Linked DNA regions of Saccharomyces cerevisiae S288C. Changing the gene in region 1 together with any one later gene gives a genetic interaction. Each region holds a gene or a part of one and is shown in the gene's direction. Other genes may lie near its edges. The genes, in order: CKB1, RPN4, OPI3 and NBP2.

Evidence for each region.
Region 2: mutations in CKB1 (region 1) and RPN4 together harm fitness more than expected from each alone (negative genetic interaction), as found in Saccharomyces cerevisiae (5 studies listed by BioGRID, with this or other methods).
Region 3: mutations in CKB1 (region 1) and OPI3 together harm fitness more than expected from each alone (negative genetic interaction), as found in Saccharomyces cerevisiae (5 studies listed by BioGRID).
Region 4: mutations in CKB1 (region 1) and NBP2 together harm fitness more than expected from each alone (negative genetic interaction), as found in Saccharomyces cerevisiae (5 studies listed by BioGRID).

Annotation. Positions count from the first base shown.
Region 1 is NC_001139.9:454,928-459,492, forward strand, and holds CKB1 (casein kinase 2 regulatory subunit CKB1), read left to right. Parts: upstream 1-3,228; coding exon 3,229-4,065; downstream 4,066-4,565. Other genes in the region: protein kinase ALK1, read left to right, coding at 1-2,140; GET complex subunit GET1, read right to left, coding at 2,236-2,943; J-type chaperone JAC1, read right to left, coding at 4,183-4,565. UniProt on the Saccharomyces cerevisiae protein: Regulatory subunit of casein kinase II/CK2.
Region 2 is NC_001136.10:413,724-418,641, reverse strand, and holds RPN4 (stress-regulated transcription factor RPN4), read left to right. Parts: upstream 1-1,933; coding exon 1,934-3,529; downstream 3,530-4,918. Other genes in the region: oxysterol-binding protein related protein OSH2, read left to right, coding at 1-979; phosphoglycerate mutase family protein GPM2, read right to left, coding at 3,754-4,689. UniProt on the Saccharomyces cerevisiae protein: Acts as a transcriptional activator of a number of genes encoding proteasomal subunits. Binds to a PACE (proteasome-associated control element) DNA sequence 5'-GGTGGCAAA-3'.
Region 3 is NC_001142.9:566,895-574,834, reverse strand, and holds OPI3 (bifunctional phosphatidyl-N-methylethanolamine N-methyltransferase/phosphatidyl-N-dimethylethanolamine N-methyltransferase), read left to right. Parts: upstream 1-1,899; coding exon 1,900-2,520; downstream 2,521-7,940. Other genes in the region: HOC1 (alpha-1,6-mannosyltransferase), read right to left, coding at 1-854; Ran GTPase-binding protein MOG1, read right to left, coding at 1,084-1,740; GTPase NPA3, read left to right, coding at 2,711-3,868; LIA1 (deoxyhypusine monooxygenase), read left to right, coding at 4,237-5,214; nucleoside triphosphate pyrophosphohydrolase HAM1, read left to right, coding at 5,436-6,029; RFC2 (replication factor C subunit 2), read right to left, coding at 6,131-7,192; YAE1 (Yae1p), read left to right, coding at 7,391-7,816. UniProt on the Saccharomyces cerevisiae protein: Catalyzes the second two steps of the methylation pathway of phosphatidylcholine biosynthesis, the SAM-dependent methylation of phosphatidylmonomethylethanolamine (PMME) to phosphatidyldimethylethanolamine (PDME) and of PDME to phosphatidylcholine (PC).
Region 4 is NC_001136.10:778,996-782,954, reverse strand, and holds NBP2 (adaptor protein NBP2), read left to right. Parts: upstream 1-1,854; coding exon 1,855-2,565; downstream 2,566-3,959. Other genes in the region: SEC1 (Sec1p), read left to right, coding at 1-914; U2-type spliceosomal complex subunit CWC15, read right to left, coding at 1,005-1,532; ACL4 (Acl4p), read right to left, coding at 2,749-3,912. UniProt on the Saccharomyces cerevisiae protein: Negatively regulates the high-osmolarity glycerol (HOG) pathway through its negative regulation of the HOG1 kinase activity. Mediates the binding between the PTC1 phosphatase and the PBS2 MAP/ERK kinase (MEK).

The DNA of each region.
Region 1 (4,565 bases):
TAATGATGACGATTGTGACACTGATTTGACTGCTGACACAGCTGACGAGCTGGAAAGCTCTGCTATCTTAAAGATGAGGGAGTCTGATGCATCTTTAAATGTTACCACCGGCAATAATACATCAAGGAAAACGACTTCCAATTCCAAAAAACGATGGTCTCTATTATCCAATCATTCTGCTGTTTCATCATCTAAATCTAAGAAAAGATGGTCTGTACTTTCTTCAAGCTTTACCAGTGAATCTCATAAGGACAGGGAATCGAGGAACGTTTTGCAACAAAAAAGAAAATCCTTGCAGAGTTATTCAAGCTTAGATACGGTAGCATCTAATAGCTCTATCTCTGCTTCTTCTTCTTTGAAAAGATCGTCCACTGGTCTTTCCCTCAGACAATTGTTTACCAAGATAGGCATAAACGATGATATATCACAACCTGGGATCGGGATTCCGCAAGGTAAGGAAAATCTGCCTCCAACTATGGGCAAAAAAAATTCATCAATTGCTTCCACTAGTTCGGAAAACAGACTTAGGACACCATTGAAGCCGCTTGTTAATCATTCTAAAAGGCCCACTTCACAACCACAACAGCAACAACCACTATATAATGCATCATTGTCCTCGAGAAGATCGTCGATTTCTTCCACTGTCTCTTCTTCCAGCTCGTCTAAATGGAGATTCTGGAAGAGAAATAAGAACCAGACACCTGCATTGTTGCAACCAGACCACCATTCTTTAAAAACCTTTCCTGCAGTAAACCGTCGTGATTCCATGACGCCCGTTGAACCAAGAAATATGGTAAAACATAAGACATCCTTTTCAGATTTCCATAAGACTATCTTCAGTTCAAATACGTATTCTGAAAGCAGCGATACAATATCTTCCATGGAAATTACTTTGAAAAACAAAGCTTCTTCCTCAAGTCTATCTTTGAACGTGTTGAAGAAAAGGAATTCGCAATCAAGTTTGAAGCACAAAAGTTCACATGCATCCTTACAAAAATTCAAAAGAAACAAAGGAAAGTCCTCCATGATAGCACCATCGACAGCAACTAATAGCAGCAATGATGACTCTTGTAGCTACAGTTCCAAAAATTCTACGTTGAGTCACCGAATATCGTTACCTGTACCGGACCAAGTTTCCCGTGATAAAATTCAGAACAAATTAAGATATTCGACCTCATTACTCTCATTAAATTCTAAATCATCTTTACCGATGAACAAAAATGATCATGATGAGACACTTCTAAGACAGATTTTACTAAATTGTGATATAAAGAGAATTTTAAACCCCGCAAAAGGAGATGTATTGCCTTTAATCAACGATGTAAACCATTTGTCATCAATACAATTAACATCAAATGTTTGGCAAATTGGTGAAGTAATCTGTAAAAAAGTTTCTCTCGGTACTATTGATGACATTACATGGGATAGAAAGTTCTTATCTTTGCAGGAACTGGAAAAACTCAAAATCATGCAACAAAAATTTGATGGCATACCGCAACTATTGAAAAGTTTTGTTGTTAAAGAGGCAAATGGGGGGTTGTATTTGTACTTACTATTCAAAGATCACGGTACCCCAATTTCGTTAATCTCACTGAAAAACTGGAAGCAGATTCTAAAGATTTTTTGGTCTTGTGCTGGTATAATTCATGGGTTGGAAAAAAATTTGAAATTTGAACATCGTAATCTTACTTTGGATAATATTTTGATAGATGGTAATGGGAATATAACAATTATTGATTTTAAATGCAGTAGATTGCAAACTCCTCAAGATGATGTTTTATATCTACGGCTAGATCATCCACTCTTTTTTCTAAATGGGAAAGACAAGAGTAAAATAAACGAATACCAGTATCAATTTGAGTTTGAAATCTATCAAAGTATGCGGATCTTGTTGAACATGGACGCGTCAGCTTTTGAGCCCATGACAAATTTGTATTGGTTATATTACCTGTCACGCGTTTTACTAAAGTTTGGTGACAGGAAGCTTGGTAAGAATGATGCAAACAGGGATAAAATGGCAAGGGTGATAAACCATTTGGAAATGAACTTGGCAGTTCATAAAAGAGGGGGGCAGTTATTCAAAAGATTGGAGACGGAGGACATTAAGAATACTGGAGATTTACTAAAACTTTATAAATAAAACAAATAGGAATGTTGACATTTATATTTCATTTTCTTTCTATTGTATACTCCAATACATAAACATATTATATATACGTACATAATGTAATAACACTAATCTAAAATAATGGCATCGTCGACAGCATCCAAGGCTTTCTCCTCTTGAGTCTCCACAGATGCAGGTGCTTCCATTTTGGGAGTCAAAAACAATTGCTTAACGATAAATTCCACGCCGTTGATGACATTCATCAATGCCCAAACCCAGATTCCCAAAGAGACACTCTGTAAAGCCATATCATCAAACTTGGAAGCACCAAATTTGCCCTCCATTATATGCCATTTCTGAGAAATAGTCCTTAGAGGATGCAAGAGAACATATAACCAGCCTTGAGACCAAACACCACTTACAAACGTAGGGAACAAGGTGCTAGTCGAGGAACTCAACTTGTAAACTGGTGTCTTGCCGTACATAATCTTAAACACAAAAAATGGCACCGTCAATGCCAATAACCTGAGTTTGTGAAGATGGGCCTGAAAGGCTTTATTTTCTGATTGTATTTCGTCCTTCAAGTTATTTATTTCTTTATCTAACGAGTCCAATTTTCTATTGTTCTTAGTCCATTTGGCATAATTATCCTGCGCGGAGATAGAGTTGTTGAATTCTTTTAATTCGTGACGTTCTTTGACCTTGGCTAAGTATTTTTTGGATAATTCATTTCCTGGTGCAAATTTAGAGATCCATTTCTCGTGGTATTTGTTTGTATACTGTAGAAACTTTGTGACCACAATAAAGAATATCGCTACCGCTGCTGCCCAATGCATTTCTCCTATTTCAATCAACTAGACGTAGTTCAAGGATTGCAAACTGTCCTGCTTTCTTTTATCTGGTCTTTTTATCCCGAGGTATTGTTGTATATACCACTACTCTGTGATTTTTTTTCACTCTTGGGAAGGAAAGAAAAAGTGAAAACATCAACTGGTAAGTGTCTAATGACAAAAACAGGAGGTAGTTGGTACGTGCAAAACACGATAGTGACGTTAATCCGAATCTGTAAATTGGTGAATTGGTATTTAGAAGCGACCATTAGCTAAAAGAGAGAGAAAACTATGTCGCAAGAGTTTGTGGAAGACTATTCACGTACAGGGTCCTCAGACGACGAGGATAGTGGAGCTTATGACGAGTGGATTCCATCGTTCTGTTCCAGATTTGGTCACGAGTACTTCTGCCAAGTCCCGACAGAGTTTATCGAGGATGATTTCAATATGACCTCGTTATCCCAAGAGGTACCCCACTACCGGAAAGCTCTGGATTTGATATTGGATTTGGAGGCTATGAGTGATGAAGAAGAGGACGAAGACGACGTGGTGGAAGAAGACGAAGTGGATCAAGAGATGCAGAGTAATGACGGTCATGATGAAGGCAAAAGGAGAAACAAGTCGCCAGTGGTGAACAAGAGTATTATCGAGCACGCAGCAGAACAGTTATACGGATTGATACATGCAAGATTTATTCTGACCAAGCCAGGCCTGCAAGCAATGGCTGAAAAATTCGACCACAAGGAATTTGGAACGTGCCCCCGTTACTATTGTAATGGCATGCAGTTGCTGCCTTGTGGGTTGAGCGATACAGTTGGGAAACACACCGTAAGGTTGTACTGTCCCAGTTGTCAGGACTTGTATCTTCCCCAATCATCTAGATTCCTGTGCTTAGAAGGTGCATTTTGGGGGACAAGCTTCCCTGGTGTGTTCTTGAAACATTTCAAAGAATTGGAAGAGTATGTGGAAAGGAAAAGTAAAGAGTCCTACGAGTTGAAAGTTTTTGGGTTCAGGATAAATGATGAGGCAGTATCTGGTCCTAGAATGAAGTGGTTGAGACAATATCCATCCACGGAGGAGGACTGGGAAGAATTTGCCAAATGCGAGTTCGAGACACCGGCGGTTTAACCCTTGATTTATTTTCCTCTTTGCCCTACCATATACATATGTACTTTACCTATTTACATTGTTTCAGTTTTTATATCACCACTATTATTATTATTACTATTACCACTTTGGAGTACTTTAGTGATTCATTTCCAATTGTTTTCCTGGAGCCCAGTCTTTGAATGCCTTGGCCAAGTTGTACCAGTACTTTAGCTCCACGGTCAACTTCACTGCGGCGGCGTAATCCTTGTCATTGTAGCATTGTCCCAACTGGGCTTCAATATCTTGAATTCTTTCCTTGTTTTGCTTTTCAAGCAGCTTCACACCAGCTTCGTCGTCCATCTGGGATAATTCATCATGGATGTCTAGAACTTTCAATAGTAACTGTGGATCACTGGTAGTTACTTCATTTGAGGTCTGTTCTTGCGTCAAATCGATATTGCGCAAGAGTTTTAGCATATATTGTGACCTTCTAAGGGGATCTTTGAGAGTATGGTAAGCTTGATTAAGAGTTGATGACT
Region 2 (4,918 bases), on another chromosome or scaffold:
TACCGCATCTTCATACGCATCTACTACAAAAAGAGTTGCGAAACCCTTCAACCCATTGTTGGGTGAAACATTTGAGTATTCTCGACCAGATAAACAGTACAGATTTTTCACCGAGCAGGTTTCACATCACCCTCCTATATCTGCAACATGGACTGAATCACCAAGATGGGACTTTTGGGGTGAATCATTTGTTGATACTAAATTCAATGGCAGATCTTTCAATGTTAAGCACTTAGGATTATGGCACATTAAGTTGCGTCCAAATGACAATGAAAAAGAGGAACTGTATACTTGGAAGAAGCCCAACAATACTGTTATAGGTATTCTCATTGGTAATCCACAAGTTGATAACCACGGTGAAGTGAACGTTGTCAATCACACAACCGGTGATCATTGCAAGTTGTATTTCAAAGCAAGGGGATGGAGGTCATCAGGAGCATATGAAATCACAGGCGAAGTCTACAACAAGAAAAAACAGAAGGTGTGGATCCTAGGAGGACACTGGAATGAAGCTATTTTTGCCAAGAAAGTAGTAAAAGATGGCGATCTCTCGTTGGAGAAAACTAGAACCGCTGCATCAGCAGGGAATGGGCCTACGGATGACGGAACGAAGTTTTTAATATGGAAGGCAAACGACCGTCCTGAGGAGCCATTCAATTTAACACCTTTTGCTATCACGCTGAATGCTCCACAACCACATCTATTGCCATGGTTACCCCCCACAGATACACGTTTGAGACCAGATCAAAGAGCAATGGAAGATGGGCGTTATGACGAAGCTGGTGATGAGAAATTCAGAGTTGAAGAAAAGCAAAGAGCAGCACGCAGAAAAAGGGAGGAAAATAACCTTGAATATCACCCACAATGGTTCGTCAGGGATACTCATCCCATCACAAAAGCTAAATATTGGAGATATACGGGCAAATATTGGGTTAAAAGAAGAGATCATGATTTGAAAGATTGTGGTGACATTTTTTAACACGCCTTTTTTATGCGAGCTTTTTTCCTGGTACTTGTATGTATTTTGAATGTATTTTATTGTACTGAATTGTATTTTATTCTACCGCACATTTGTTTCTTTTGGCATATATAGTATGTTTACTTAACAATAGGGATTTCCTTCAGTTTTCCTAGATGTATCAATTTAGTTATCTTTTCGAACACTTTGGTTATGTCACCATGGTCAGATGACCATATTATTTTGAAATCCATATAACCAATTACAAAGCAAGCAACAAGCGAGTAAATAAAATCGTTAGGCGGTTACCATAACCCTTCGTTACGACGCTAAAGTGCTATATAATGCCTCCATTACGGCTGCGATAGAACTGTGCCTAAATTAGCGGCAGAGGTTGAAAACCAATCATCACTAACGTATTCAATATTAATTGTTGAGAAAACCAACTACGGATTGTTATAGAGATCAAACTATATGCACTGAGAGGACGTTACTTCTTTTTTTACTACCTTTCTGTTCCTGTAATAACAAGTTCCGTGGAACTCAAAGAAAGGTGCCTCAGCCCGTACGAACCTTTCCACGGATAATCACGTGATCGCTATTACTAATAGCCGTTTACAGTGATGGTTCTAGAAAGTTCCGTTTCGGCGAAACTTGTTGAGGAGAGCAATTCTATATAAGGAAAGAATAGTTCGAAGCCCAATTTGGGGAAAGCCCGGGATGAGCAGCCTAACCCACACGGATAATTTTTTATCGTTCAAGGAGGAGGATACGTTTTATCTCTAATATAAATTAAAGATAAACCCGAAACTCTTTTTTCTTCTTGGCGTGGAATATTTAAGGAGTAGATCAGTTCCATTTTGTTCATCCTTTTCTCCTCAAGGAAGAACTCCGCTTTTTAGTTGAACTAATAGTAGATAGTACTAATAGCTAATTTGTATCTTTTCAAAAGTTTTCTAGAATTTTCAAGCAATCATGGCTTCTACGGAACTTAGCCTAAAAAGAACCTTAACGGATATTTTAGAAGACGAGTTGTACCATACTAATCCAGGTCACAGTCAGTTTACGAGTCATTATCAAAACTATCATCCAAATGCTAGTATTACTCCATATAAGTTGGTGAATAAGAACAAGGAAAACAACACTTTTACGTGGAATCATTCATTACAACACCAGAATGAATCGAGTGCAGCTTCGATACCCCCACAACAAACCTACCATTTCCCGATATTCAACAAATACGCGGATCCTACTTTAACTACCACCACCTCTTTTACGACTAGTGAAGCAACGGCCAACGATAGACAGATTAATAATGTCCATCTCATACCAAACGAGATTAAGGGTGCTAGCGAAACCCCATTGCAGAAGACCGTCAATCTAAAGAATATAATGAAAGTATCAGACCCGTATGTACCGACACGGAATACGTTCAATTATGATGTTAAAATTTCCAACGATTTTTTCGATAACGGTGACAATCTATATGGTAATGATGAAGAAGTGCTTTTCTATGAGGATAATTATAATCCGAAAATGCAGTGGTCACTTCAAGATAATAGCGCCGCAATAAACAATGAGGATGCGAGAGCTATTTTTAACAATGAATTTGACTCTGATGACGACGATATCAGTGATGATGAAGAGGATGAAATAGAAGAAAATTGTTTGCAACAAGAGCAACACCAAGAGGAGCCTTTACTGTCATTGGATGTTACACCAATCTCAATGTTTGGCTCAGATCAAAAAACGGGTCGTGCCAAGAGTTCTAGTCATTTATTTAATGAGTACAGTTACGTTGACTCTAACATGGACAGCATTTCCAGTGTTGTATCTGAAGATCTGTTAGATGAACGGGGACATGAGAAGATAGAGGATGAGGATGAGGATAATGATCTTGATGAAGACGATATCTACGATATCTCTCTCTTGAAGAACAGAAGAAAGCAAAGTTTTGTCCTCAATAAAAACACTATTGATTTTGAAAGATTTCCATCTCCCTCAACCTCGGCAAACGTACCGTCTACTGCTACTACCGGTAAAAGGAAACCAGCAAAATCATCCAGTAACCGTAGTTGCGTTAGTAACAGTAATGAAAACGGCACATTAGAAAGAATAAAGAAGCCTACATCAGCTGTAGTAAGCTCAAATGCTAGTAGGCGGAAGCTAATTAATTATACTAAGAAGCACTTATCTTCACATTCATCTACAAATTCGAATTCGAAACCTTCGACTGCATCACCATCGGCCCATACGTCATCTTCTGACGGTAATAACGAAATATTTACGTGTCAGATAATGAATCTCATTACAAATGAACCGTGTGGTGCCCAATTTTCAAGGTCCTATGATTTAACGAGACACCAAAATACCATTCACGCTAAAAGGAAGATTGTCTTCCGTTGCTCGGAGTGTATAAAAATTCTTGGATCTGAGGGCTATCAGAAGACGTTTTCGAGACTGGATGCTTTAACAAGGCATATAAAATCGAAGCATGAAGATTTGTCGTTAGAACAACGTCAAGAAGTTACAAAATTTGCAAAGGCTAATATTGGTTATGTCATGGGTTAATTAAGGTTACAAATTATATAGGAGATAAAAGAAGAAAACCTCACACAAAATGGAAATACATATACACATCTATATATATTTACAATATATATCATATATCTGCATTCAGGAATGTTCTTATAAATATCACATTTTTAAAGTACCTCATTGGACTTATAATAAGTTTTCTATTGGTTTTCATTATACTTCGGAAAATACACAATTATATTATATACTTACCCCCCTTAAGGATTTTTTATGAAACCCTCATTACGGACTTTCTCAGCATTGATCTTAGCAGATTCAGGATCTAGGTAGAATTTTCTGATAAACTTAAGACCATTATTCTTATCTAATTCAACGACTAAGGGGATACCATTTGGAATATCAACATTCTTGATGTCATCATCTGATATACCCTCCAGAATTTTCAGTAGCGATCTCACTGAACTTCCATGGCCCACAATCAGGCATGAAGATTCATCATATTGATTGGCTAATTTTAATATGACATTTTGTAGAAAAGGATTCAATCTATAAACCACTTCACGAAGAGATTCGGAATCCGGTAATACAATGTCATGATTGCTGCATTCCAATTCATATTTTATTTGTCTGTTTGGCTCCTTGAATTCGTACCCAGTAGAAGAGCCCTTCTCATTTTCTTGTTGAATCATCTCACGGTCAAGATCTACAGGTGGTGGCTTACCCTCGTAATCTCTCCTAATGAACATATATTTATCCTTACCATATTCTTTTAAAACATTCGGTTTCCTCTGGCCCTGCCAGGAACCGTAATGACGTTCATTTAGCCTCCAAGTTTGAAGAATCGGGATTTTCATATTATCCTTGTCATCACTGCCAAATTCGTCTCCAAGTTTGATTTTATTAAAGTCGTAAACAACCTGCAGTTGTGGCTTTAACTTAAATTCTTCACACATCGTTTCTATGGTCTGTTGGGTCCTAATTAAACGTGAGGTGTAACCAATCTGGGGTAATCTCAAATTATTAGCTTTACAATATTGTTCGATTAGCTCGGCAGAATGACGAGCTTGTTCTTTACCTTTTTCGGTTAGCTTAGCGTCAATCCAACCACAGAATATATTCTCGTGATTCAATTCACTTTGTCCATGCCTTAACAAGAACAATGTCATGACATTGGATGGTGTGCTTGCAGTCATTGTTTACTAAGTTAATATATCTATATTTTTTTTATGTATTCTTGGGTTTAAATTGAACAACCTCGTATTTGGATGTGTGTCTCGAAACACTTCTACGTATATATATAAGCTACTTTGGATTCAAAGATAATTTTGTCACGTTTGTTCTGGTGGGAAATTTCAGCCAAAGGGAAAAAAAAAGAAAACGGTGAGCTCCGTATTATCTTCGTCGTGGGGTGATAACAACATG
Region 3 (7,940 bases), on another chromosome or scaffold:
ATAATTCGAGAAATGATTTCCCTCAAAACAGGGTGACCAGGTTTTGCTTGTATAATCCAAGTACCAAACTGAAGTCTTCTGATATACTTGGTTCTCCAGTCAGCTCTTTGAGCGTCTTCCTCAACTCCAACTATCAACCCAATGTCGGATGGCGACAACTCTTCAGGAATCCAGTTTGGAATTGGCTGAACAGGGAACGTGTCGATGTCAGCATAAACACCTCCATGAACTAACAGTATTAAGTATTTGAAAAAATCTATCTTTAGGATGATGGAGGGCAGAGCTTCGTAAGTCTCTAGGATTTCCGGTATGGAGTAGAAGTAGTGGTGTACTAGTGCGTTTATCACGTCATGGTTCAACACTTCGTGCGCAAAGCCCGGATTCTTGCTTTCCCACATGCCCTTTATATCTTGAACACGCTCGGGACCTTCATCATTGGACCAAGTTTGCCAAATAAATGCTGGGAACTTGACATGGGAATCGTAGGGGAAAGTCATAGCTATGCGTTCTCTTAGGGTGGCCTCCGGAGGTGTTTGTTTCAAGTCTTGGATTTTTTTTTCCAGGATCTTACGTTGTTTATCAAATTGCTTTGCTTGAACTTCCTGTTGGTGTCTGATCTCCTGAGCCAAACTCTCAAAATGTTGAACTAGATCAGAATCCGAACTCTGAATATTGTTGGCACTATTAATGCTTTGGGAAATCTCTTTGGGCAAGTTCTGCAGAATTTTTTGTAAATCAGTAGCATTAGAATTGTGAAATAGGTATCTAACTCCAAATGCTAATGAGATGAGGGCTATTATGGCGAATATCATCAACCTCCTGAAACTGGAGGCTCTTTTTGTTGTTTTGGCCATCGTTAACCGCTACAGTCTATATATCTATCTGCTGTCTTCCGAGTAGAGTGCCTCTTCTCTGCAAGAATACGTGCAAAATGGAAAGAGAGGAATGTTCATTATGGTCACTGTTATTTTTTCACTTTCTTCGCTGCTGGGAAATTTCGTTATACTTATCGGAAAAAACATGTAATACGCTATATAGTAGAAATAAAAAGGTAATATAAACATAAGGTTAAAATTTGAAAGATTAAGCAAACAGCGACGTGTCCACAACGTGAAACTTCCGTACCATTTCTTGCAACAATTGGTAAACAGCATGACATCTTGCAGGCAACTCTTTGTTGCTTGCTTGCGACGCCTCCTCCTTTGTCAAAGGTACATTAATGGAGATGACCACATCCGTGTCAAACTGGGTTAATCTGATCAACGCTACGCCGATGACAACGGTCTGTGCCAGATCTGGTTTTCCCCACTTATTTGCTACTTCCATAACGAGTCCGGTGAACTTGGTTCCTTGCTGAACAGTGTCTTCTTGTAAAGCTTCCCATTTGGTGGTCCCGTTCAACTCCGTCAGGTCTTCCACGTGGAACTGCCAAGCCTCCTTCAGATCGCTCTTGTCGACCGTCTCCAAGAGATCCACGATAATGCTTTCATTGGTGGCTAGTCCATCTTCGAATTCTTCTTCATCGCGACGGGAATTGACGTACACCTCCTGTGTATCGGGGACTTCTCTTAGAGTAGAAGCGTCTATAAACCCAGGTGGGACGACAGTAGTGATGGCGCCGCCGTATAATTCGACTTCCTTGTTGTTCATGCTTCCTTGATGACCAGGGTAGGTGTCAATGAGAGTGCATGTGGAAAGTTGCACCGGTTGTGAAATATGAGAAGCCTTTTCAATCTTCATATGCAAACCCACACATGCATCGTTGGTTTCTGTCCACTGCCACTGCAATGACCACTGGATAAGGGGTCTTTATAAGAGAACACATATGAAGAACATGAACGTTCTTGGACAGAGCCATAAACAGCAATTGAAGACAACAAGAATAGCGCAAGTCAAGCGATGAAGGAGTCAGTCCAAGAGATCATCCAGCAACTCATCCACAGTGTCGATTTACAGTCTTCCAAGTTCCAGCTGGCCATTGTGTGCACGATGTTCAATCCTATCTTTTGGAACATCGTTGCAAGAATGGAATACCACAAGCATTCTCTCACCAAGATGTGTGGTGGGGCCAGAAAGGGCTGTTACATGTTGGCGGCGACCATATTTTCGCTAGGTATCGTCAGAGACATGGTGTACGAGTCTGCATTGCGTGAACAGCCTACGTGTTCTCTGATCACGGGCGAGAACTGGACCAAGCTGGGTGTGGCTCTCTTTGGTTTGGGGCAAGTGCTTGTTTTGAGTTCCATGTACAAGCTGGGTATCACAGGGACGTACTTGGGTGACTATTTCGGCATCCTGATGGATGAGAGAGTCACCGGCTTCCCCTTCAACGTTTCCAACAACCCCATGTACCAGGGTTCCACTTTGTCCTTCTTGGGCATAGCCCTTTACAAAGGAAAGCCTGCGGGGCTGGTTGTTTCTGCCGTAGTTTACTTCATGTACAAGATCGCTCTTCGTTGGGAAGAACCTTTTACTGCCATGATCTACGCTAACCGTGATAAGGCCAAAAAGAATATGTAAGTGCTCTATTTCTATATATTCTATAATGTTAGAAGCCTATGCTATTACCGTTTCTATATAGCTCCATAAGCAATTTCTTCGCGAAAGTGAAAAAAAAAAATTTTAATGCGATGCTCTATTTAACAAGGAATACAATGAGAGCATCTAGCGCACACAAACAACTACAAAACGCAATAACGACACAGCAAGAATGAGTCTCAGCACAATCATATGTATTGGTATGGCCGGATCCGGTAAAACAACTTTCATGCAAAGGTTAAACTCCCACTTGCGGGCAGAGAAAACGCCACCATACGTAATCAATCTTGATCCTGCAGTATTGAGAGTCCCCTATGGTGCAAACATCGATATCAGAGACTCAATCAAATACAAGAAAGTGATGGAGAATTACCAGCTAGGTCCGAACGGTGCCATTGTCACCAGTTTGAATTTGTTCAGCACCAAGATTGATCAAGTTATTAGGTTGGTGGAACAGAAGAAGGACAAGTTCCAAAACTGCATCATCGACACTCCAGGCCAAATCGAATGTTTTGTGTGGAGTGCGTCGGGTGCCATTATCACGGAATCTTTTGCCTCCAGCTTTCCCACAGTGATTGCATATATCGTGGATACGCCTAGAAACTCATCCCCAACTACATTCATGAGTAACATGCTGTACGCCTGCTCCATTCTGTATAAGACCAAACTTCCCATGATTGTCGTTTTCAACAAGACCGACGTGTGCAAGGCAGATTTTGCTAAGGAATGGATGACGGATTTTGAGAGTTTCCAAGCAGCAATCAAGGAAGATCAAGACTTGAATGGTGACAATGGGCTGGGCTCCGGGTACATGAGCTCATTGGTCAATTCTATGTCACTGATGCTTGAAGAATTCTATTCCCAGCTAGACGTCGTGGGCGTTTCCAGTTTTACCGGAGACGGATTCGACGAATTTATGCAATGCGTAGACAAGAAAGTTGATGAATACGACCAATACTATAAGCAAGAACGTGAAAAAGCATTGAACCTAAAAAAGAAAAAGGAAGAGATGAGAAAGCAAAAATCATTGAATGGCCTGATGAAGGATCTAGGGTTAAACGAGAAGAGCAGCGCTGCAGCCAGCGACAACGACAGCATAGATGCCATTAGCGACCTCGAAGAGGATGCCAATGATGGTCTTGTGGATAGGGATGAGGACGAAGGCGTTGAGAGAGAATACACGTTCCCAGGCGAAGAAAGAACAAAAGGTGAGGTCAACGAGAACTCTGCTCCAGACCTACAAAGGAGATATCAGGAAGCTATGCAACAAGTAGGGAAAACGGCCAGTAGCGAGACTGCAGAAAATATCGCGAAGTATATTAGAAACTAAATAACTACGTATAGTCCTTTGGTTCGGCGATCATTCGACCCGCAGAGAAAAAAAAAGACAATGGAATTGCAAAGACGAACGTCAGATAAACTCCCACGTTTATTATCTTTTGAACAATAGAGGTAATCCTTCCACAGAAATCCCTGTAGAATGCAGTGAGAAACAAGAAAAAAAAAAAATTTTTTTTTTTTCTCTATCCTGCGTGGGAGGAAAGAAAATTTTTCTCGATGAGCTGAAAAGTTTTTATCATATAAATTACATAAGGCAAATCCAGTGAATACACGTGTATATTTGACGGTAGCTCTAGGTTTAGGTTAGGATAAACTGTAGTCCTTCTAACATACCACGCAAGAAAGAAAAAAAAAAACATGTCTACTAACTTTGAAAAACATTTCCAAGAAAACGTCGATGAATGCACTCTAGAGCAACTAAGGGACATCTTAGTCAACAAGTCCGGCAAAACAGTTTTGGCCAACAGATTTAGAGCTCTGTTCAACTTAAAGACTGTTGCTGAAGAATTTGCCACTAAGCCAGAGGAAGCCAAAAAGGCCATCGAATACATTGCCGAATCCTTCGTCAATGACAAGTCTGAGTTGTTGAAGCACGAAGTGGCCTACGTGTTGGGTCAAACCAAGAACTTGGACGCTGCTCCAACTTTAAGACACGTTATGTTAGATCAAAATCAAGAACCAATGGTGAGACACGAAGCCGCTGAGGCTTTGGGTGCCCTAGGTGACAAGGATTCGTTGGATGACCTAAATAAGGCTGCTAAGGAGGATCCACACGTTGCTGTGAGAGAAACCTGTGAACTGGCCATTAACAGAATCAACTGGACCCATGGAGGTGCCAAGGATAAGGAAAACTTGCAACAATCCCTATACTCGAGTATTGACCCAGCCCCACCTCTACCATTAGAAAAGGATGCTACCATCCCAGAACTACAGGCCTTATTGAATGATCCTAAGCAACCTTTGTTCCAAAGATACAGAGCCATGTTCAGACTGAGAGATATCGGTACTGATGAAGCAATCCTGGCCTTGGCCACTGGTTTCAGTGCAGAATCCTCCCTTTTCAAGCATGAAATCGCCTACGTCTTCGGTCAAATAGGTAGTCCGGCTGCTGTCCCAAGTTTGATTGAAGTTTTGGGCAGAAAGGAAGAAGCTCCAATGGTTAGGCATGAAGCTGCTGAAGCCTTGGGTGCCATTGCTTCTCCAGAAGTTGTCGACGTCTTGAAATCTTACCTCAACGATGAAGTCGATGTCGTCAGAGAATCTTGTATCGTTGCGCTAGATATGTATGATTACGAAAACAGCAACGAACTAGAATATGCTCCAACTGCTAATTAGAAGAATCAGCATCATCAATAATGATAGTAACAATAATCATTGTATAATCTTGTATTTTATACTTTTCAAAACCCGCCATTTCCGTTATATATACAAATGTATCAAATAGCAAAAAAATTATTTATTTTCGAAACCGTTCTCTCGAGCTTCAGCTTTCAACACTGGTCTTCAAAGCATAGGAAACACTCACATAGAGATATCTAAAAACGAACGATAGCAGAATGAGCAACAACGAAATTGTATTTGTCACTGGCAATGCCAACAAGTTAAAGGAAGTGCAGTCGATTTTGACTCAAGAGGTCGACAACAACAACAAAACCATCCACTTAATCAATGAGGCCTTAGACCTGGAAGAATTGCAGGACACGGATCTGAATGCCATTGCGTTAGCTAAGGGAAAGCAAGCTGTTGCGGCCTTGGGTAAGGGTAAGCCAGTGTTTGTGGAAGACACTGCGTTGAGATTTGACGAATTTAACGGTCTACCAGGTGCTTATATAAAATGGTTTTTAAAGAGCATGGGATTGGAAAAAATTGTGAAAATGTTGGAACCCTTTGAAAATAAAAACGCTGAAGCAGTTACCACCATTTGTTTTGCTGATTCTCGGGGTGAATATCACTTCTTTCAAGGTATTACAAGAGGCAAGATCGTTCCAAGCCGGGGACCCACTACATTCGGCTGGGATTCAATTTTTGAACCTTTTGATAGTCATGGACTGACTTACGCAGAGATGAGCAAAGACGCAAAGAATGCTATTTCTCATCGTGGTAAAGCCTTCGCTCAGTTTAAAGAGTACTTGTATCAAAATGACTTTTAGGTGATGTGCTGAGAAGATAAGAGGAATTATGGATAGATTTTTTTTTTTTTATTCTTACTTTATGTCGCCTCTATATTCAATTATATAAAGATGCCTGTATATTAGAGTTGGGATATTTTAACCAATAAGTTTAATAATTGGATGTGCTCGTTCGTTCCGTTGTTTAATCTGGAATCCGTAGTAAACAGCAACCAAGATATTTGATTTTTGAAGTTCGTATCAAAGTTATCGTTGGTGATGTAATATTCATGTAGTTGGTTAACTACTGACGCAGCAGACCAACCGCTTTTCATAAACGTATTGACGTATTTCTTAATCTCATCAAAATCACCACTTTTGACTTTTTCAACAATTTCTATTAGAATGTCATGAGGTACCACACCAGCTAATTCTTCCACTTGGGTAGAAGTTATGTTTTTACCATCACCCAAGTATTGCGCCCCCTTGGAAGCGGATTGTAATAATGTAATGCCTCTTCTCAAGTCACCTGCCGAAATGTCCAAGATCCTTTCCAAAACTCCATCATCACATTTAACATTTTCTTGTTCGCTGATAAACCTCAAACGGTCAATGGCATTACTTGCGTCTAGGGCTTTGAATCTAAATTTGGAACAACGGGACGCTAGCGGGTCAATAATTCTTGTCACATAATTACAAATCAAACAGAATCTTGTTACTCCTGAATAGGTTTCCATTGTTCTACGTAATGCACTCTGTGCATCGGCAGTCATTGAATCGGCCTCATCGAGAATAATGATCTTATACGGTGGGCACGGATAGTTCTCCAAGTCATGTTTGCTAGGCTTGGATACAGTCAATCTTGCAAAATTTTTTACCTTTTCTCTTACAATAGAGATACCACGTTCGTCAGAAGCGTTCAACTCCAATATTCTTGATTTCATCAAGTCGGGTCCATATAATTCTTTTGTTAGCGCTAAAATGGTAGACGTTTTACCAGTTCCTGGGGGACCATAAAACAACATATGTGGTAGATTAGCTGACTTTAAGGTTTTCTTCAAAACAGTAACGGCATGATCTTGAGCTGTCACTTCATCTAGGTTTTTGGGCCTGTATTTCTCAACCCAGGGTTGTTGTGCCAATGATTGCTCTGCGGCTAACTTTGATATCTTACGCTTTTTATTTGGACCAAACCCTTCAAACATCTCAAGTGATTGCCAATACTTTCCCCCAGTATTTCTCGCTGTCTCTCTATTTTACTTCTCTTATAGCATTGACTTGTTCGCTTGAGTTACTTCCTGATTGCTTTGAAATACGCGAAGTAAAAGAGTGAAAAATAACGATGAGAAAGGTTTTTGATAGAAGAGAACAAAAAAGGAACAGTGTTACAATAGTATATAGAGATGTCGAATACTTGGGACGATGTATGGGCATCAGACAGTGATGTCGAAACTGAACGATCTCCAGATTTAGTGAAGTTAAGAGAGAATCATAGCAAGAGGGGGTACTTGGACGGAATAGTGAGTTCTAAAGAAGAAAAGCTGCAAGAGGGTTTCAATGATGGTTTCCCAACGGGCGCTAAATTAGGGAAACAAGTTGGCATAATTATGGGGATTTTACTTGGCCTACGAACACGTTTTGGTGATGAAGATGAGGACCTCAGTAAGGCATATATTGATGCTCAAAAAGAATTACGCATTAACAAAGTACTTAGTAAGTCCATATTTGATCCAAACTTTGACTTGCAAGAAAAACATCCGCTCATAACAAAATGGACTGATATTGCCAATACCTATTGTGAAAAGTACCATGTGCCATCTATCCAATAAAGTTGTTTTAAATGGAGTTGATTTCACAATTTATGTACCTTATATCATCCTTCATTTCACATAATGACGAGATATTACAAAAATAATGATAATAATAATAATAATACACAATACTTGCACACGT
Region 4 (3,959 bases), on another chromosome or scaffold:
CAATGAAGGAACCGACAATCTTAGATAAATTGCGTTACATTATTGCGTATGCTCTTTTCAGAGGTGGAATTATCGAGTTAGACTTCATTAAATTATTGAACTTTATAGGAGTTACTCATGAACATGAAAATTTCCAGCAATATTTAAAAATATTCAGAAATTACGATTTAATTGATTTCAAATTGATCAAAGACAAACCGAAGGATAAACCATTTCAAAAGGAATGGTTTCATGATACTTTAGTGAATGATCCAAATATCTATCACACTTCAAGGTTCGTTCCCGCTGTAGGGAATATTCTTTCAAAGGTTATAGCGAATCCATTGTTATTGAGCGAACAATACTTCCCATATTTAAAGGACAAGCCAATTGAGTTATTGAATGAAGAAGAATTCCAAGCAGGCTTAGCGAATACCTCTGCTAACTCCTCCTCATCCTTAAGGAATCCCCGTCACAAGGCAGCTTGGACCACGAAAAGCTCTAATATAAAAAAAAACATACCTAGACAAAGATTCTTCTACTATGTTATTGGTGGTATATCAATTCCCGAAATTAAAGCTGCTTATGATCAATCAAACTTGAAGAACAGAGATATCTTTATTGGCAGCGACGAGATATTAACACCAACAAAATTCTTAGATGAAGTGGAACGTTTACAAAATCCTAGAGAATTTTTCAAATTCAAGGAAGATCAGCGCCAGCAAGTAAACCCGCCTGATTTCCTTCTAAGGGAAATGAAACCGGTGGCACAACCAGTCTCTCATGTTCATTTAAAAAGCCAAGACAATAGTCCTAAGTCTGGTACTTCTAGTCCCAAAGCAGCAGGTTCTCTCAAGTCAGAACCACCCGAAAAAGAGAAGAAACGTAGCAAATTCTCGAGGTTCTTGAAAAGAAAATCTCACCATGATAAATGATCCCTTAAAGAAGACAGTGATAAAAAAAATCACTTGCTCTTGTCAAAAAAAAAAGATATAAACGTACTATTTATGTATCGTTCCTATGTACTATCTAACATGCTTATGGAGAAATTCTTGATGATATTCAGATTTTGTCATATCGTTAATGTATCCGGACGCTGATTTTTTTGTTGCATGTTCCTTAATATTTGTCTCTTTGGTTACTTTATGGCGTCCAAACGCCGTGCCCTTTCTCCACGATCGCCTAGACGAATTTCCTCCCTTTAATTGTTCATTTCCTTCAAGCTCTGCTTTATCTTCCACTTTATTTTTTTGAGTAACCAGCAGCTCTTGCAACGAGTCTTTTTGGTCTTTCTCACTGCGGGTTTCTTGGAGGTTCCCACTCCCCACAACATCCTGTTTCTCTTCGTTCATTACTGCCTCCTCTAAAGATTTATCGTTGCTCCTATCTTCTTGCGCACAGTTTGCTCTAAGATTTTCCTCCTCTTTAAATTTCCTGTATTTTAATGTTGTATGTCCTGGTAGTAATCTGGCATGCTCGATGCCTGTTGGTGTATAAGCGGCCGCTTTTGCACCGCTTCTTGCTTCTAACTGTGGTCTGTGTGATGTGGTCATGGTCTTGTAGCCCTTTCAAATGCCAGCCTCTGAGCAAGTTCTTTATGGAGCCTTTTGGAGCTTTGTCATTCCTATTTCCTTTTCGTGAAGAGATAGACTATTATTTTTAGTCACACCAACTTATTTTTCCAGTTGCGAGAAATGGAGAATTCACTTCAGAAGTAGCTTGTAATGGACAATGCAACACAGTGCACAGTAACAACACGCTCAATCACACATAATAACAGCTACCAATAAAACGTGATAGATACTAACAAATTTTAAGTATTTTTCTCAACTTTACCTTACTTTAACTTCCACTGACATATTTATTGAATCTACGATGGCAACGATGGAAACGACCACACAAAAAGATACCAATATTTTGAAATCTGGTCTCAAAAAAACTATAGGTGTTCTCAATGAGGCAGTATTACAGAACGGGAGAGAGGTGGAGGCAGTGCAGGCAGGAAATAGTGACACAATGGAAGATACAGAAACAACCACAATAGGTTATATATCAATCAAAGATTATGCGTACGCAGATTCGAATCCTCTCCATTATGGTTATTTTGATGGAGACAATGAGGAGGATGAAATGGTTTCAGATTCTTCAAATGGAGAAGACACATACAATAAAAGACAAAGTATAACACTACCAGACGACTACATAGTTAACCAACGTGCTGTTGCCCTCTACGATTTCGAACCCGAAAATGATAATGAATTGAGATTGGCTGAGGGTGACATCGTATTTATCAGTTACAAGCATGGGCAAGGTTGGCTAGTAGCAGAAAATGAGTCAGGATCAAAAACAGGGTTGGTACCGGAGGAGTTTGTCTCTTATATACAGCCGGAAGATGGTGAGAACGAGGTGGAGAATAAGGCTCGACCTTTCTATTTGACACATTTGATTACACAGAGCGTTAGTCCTAAAAACAATATTGATAACACTAACGAAGATGAATACGACGACAACGATGAATGGGAAGATATTGATGATGTTGCGGAGGTCGAAGCAGATATGAAAACAAAATTAGATATATCGGATTGAATACAAATTCCAATTGGTTATGACAGTAAAATACTCACTAAAAACAGATAAAGAGGTCACCACCCTGGCGGTATGCCTGGCCGAATCTTCTTCCATCTGTTCTATGTCATAATTTCCGTTTCTTACGGATATATACATATATATCAGTGTATGTACTTATGCATATGTTAAATTAGAAGACTATTAGTCAGAATATTCTTCCTCTATGTCCAACTCTTCCAAGTCTTCATTCTCATTCACTAAATCACCCTTCTTGATTTGTGTTAACTCACTTGGATCTAGAGGACCACCAATTTCTTGGAGTAAAGCATTAGCACCGCCCAATAATTCTTGCACAATTTCATCTTTGCTGTCAGCATTGACACCTGCTTGCAATGCAAAACTTAGCGCTAATCTTGAGTCATAGATTAACTGGGAGATTGGTTCGTGGGATAAATCCAAAGGAACTTCTTGAATGAGTTGGTTAAACTCGTATATATTTTCCGGACGCAGGCTTACTTCGGGATTGTTCAACTTGAAAATTTCTAATTTACTCATTAAATAATAAGTAAAACCCTCTAGATAATAACCCTCTATGTTATCCTCATCTATATCTCTTACTGCGGCAATAACTTTCAATGCGACTTCGTAAGCTCCCACTTCGAGGCACATCTTTGTTAAAGATAAAAGAGGTTGTAAAAGATCTACATACTCTGACTGTAAACCAGCTTTCTGAGTTGTGTCACCATTTTCATTTATACCGCTACCAATTTCTTGTTTTTTCAACTCAAAGAAATTCCAGGCTTGTGAGAATGCTTCATAAGCTTCTCCAAATTTTTGTTGCGAGATTTTGATAGAACCCAGGGTAGACCATGTTTCAGGAGATTTTCCCTCTGTGAGTTCCATCGCCTTTTGTATTAACTCCTCACACTGCTCTTCTGCATTTGGCTCCATACATAAATCCGTCATCCAAATTTCAATCACAGAAAGCAGTCCACCTACAATCTTTTCAACCTGAACGTTGGTTAACATTTCACCTCCAGTATTAGAGATGTTCATTATTCCGCGAGTTATTATCGATACACCATCCTGTCCACCCATGATTTGACCCATGGTAAAAAATTTGTCCGGTCCGCCAACTTGTCCCTCAGGATCTAATTCGCAAGCACGCGCTAAAATTGGGTAGGCTTTCTCTACCTGTCCATTATCCAGGTATGCATCGGCAAACACTTCATTCAGTATTACATTGTTTGCGTTTTCTTTTTTCAGTGAACTTTTGAACGGCTTCAATATTTTGAGCGCCTTTTTGGCATTATTTTCAGCCAGGGCTTCTTTGGCTTGCCTAATTGTGGCTTCAAGTTCACTCATATTCCTTTTTTAATCCTCAGCCTGAAGATGCTTTTAGGTATAAGTTC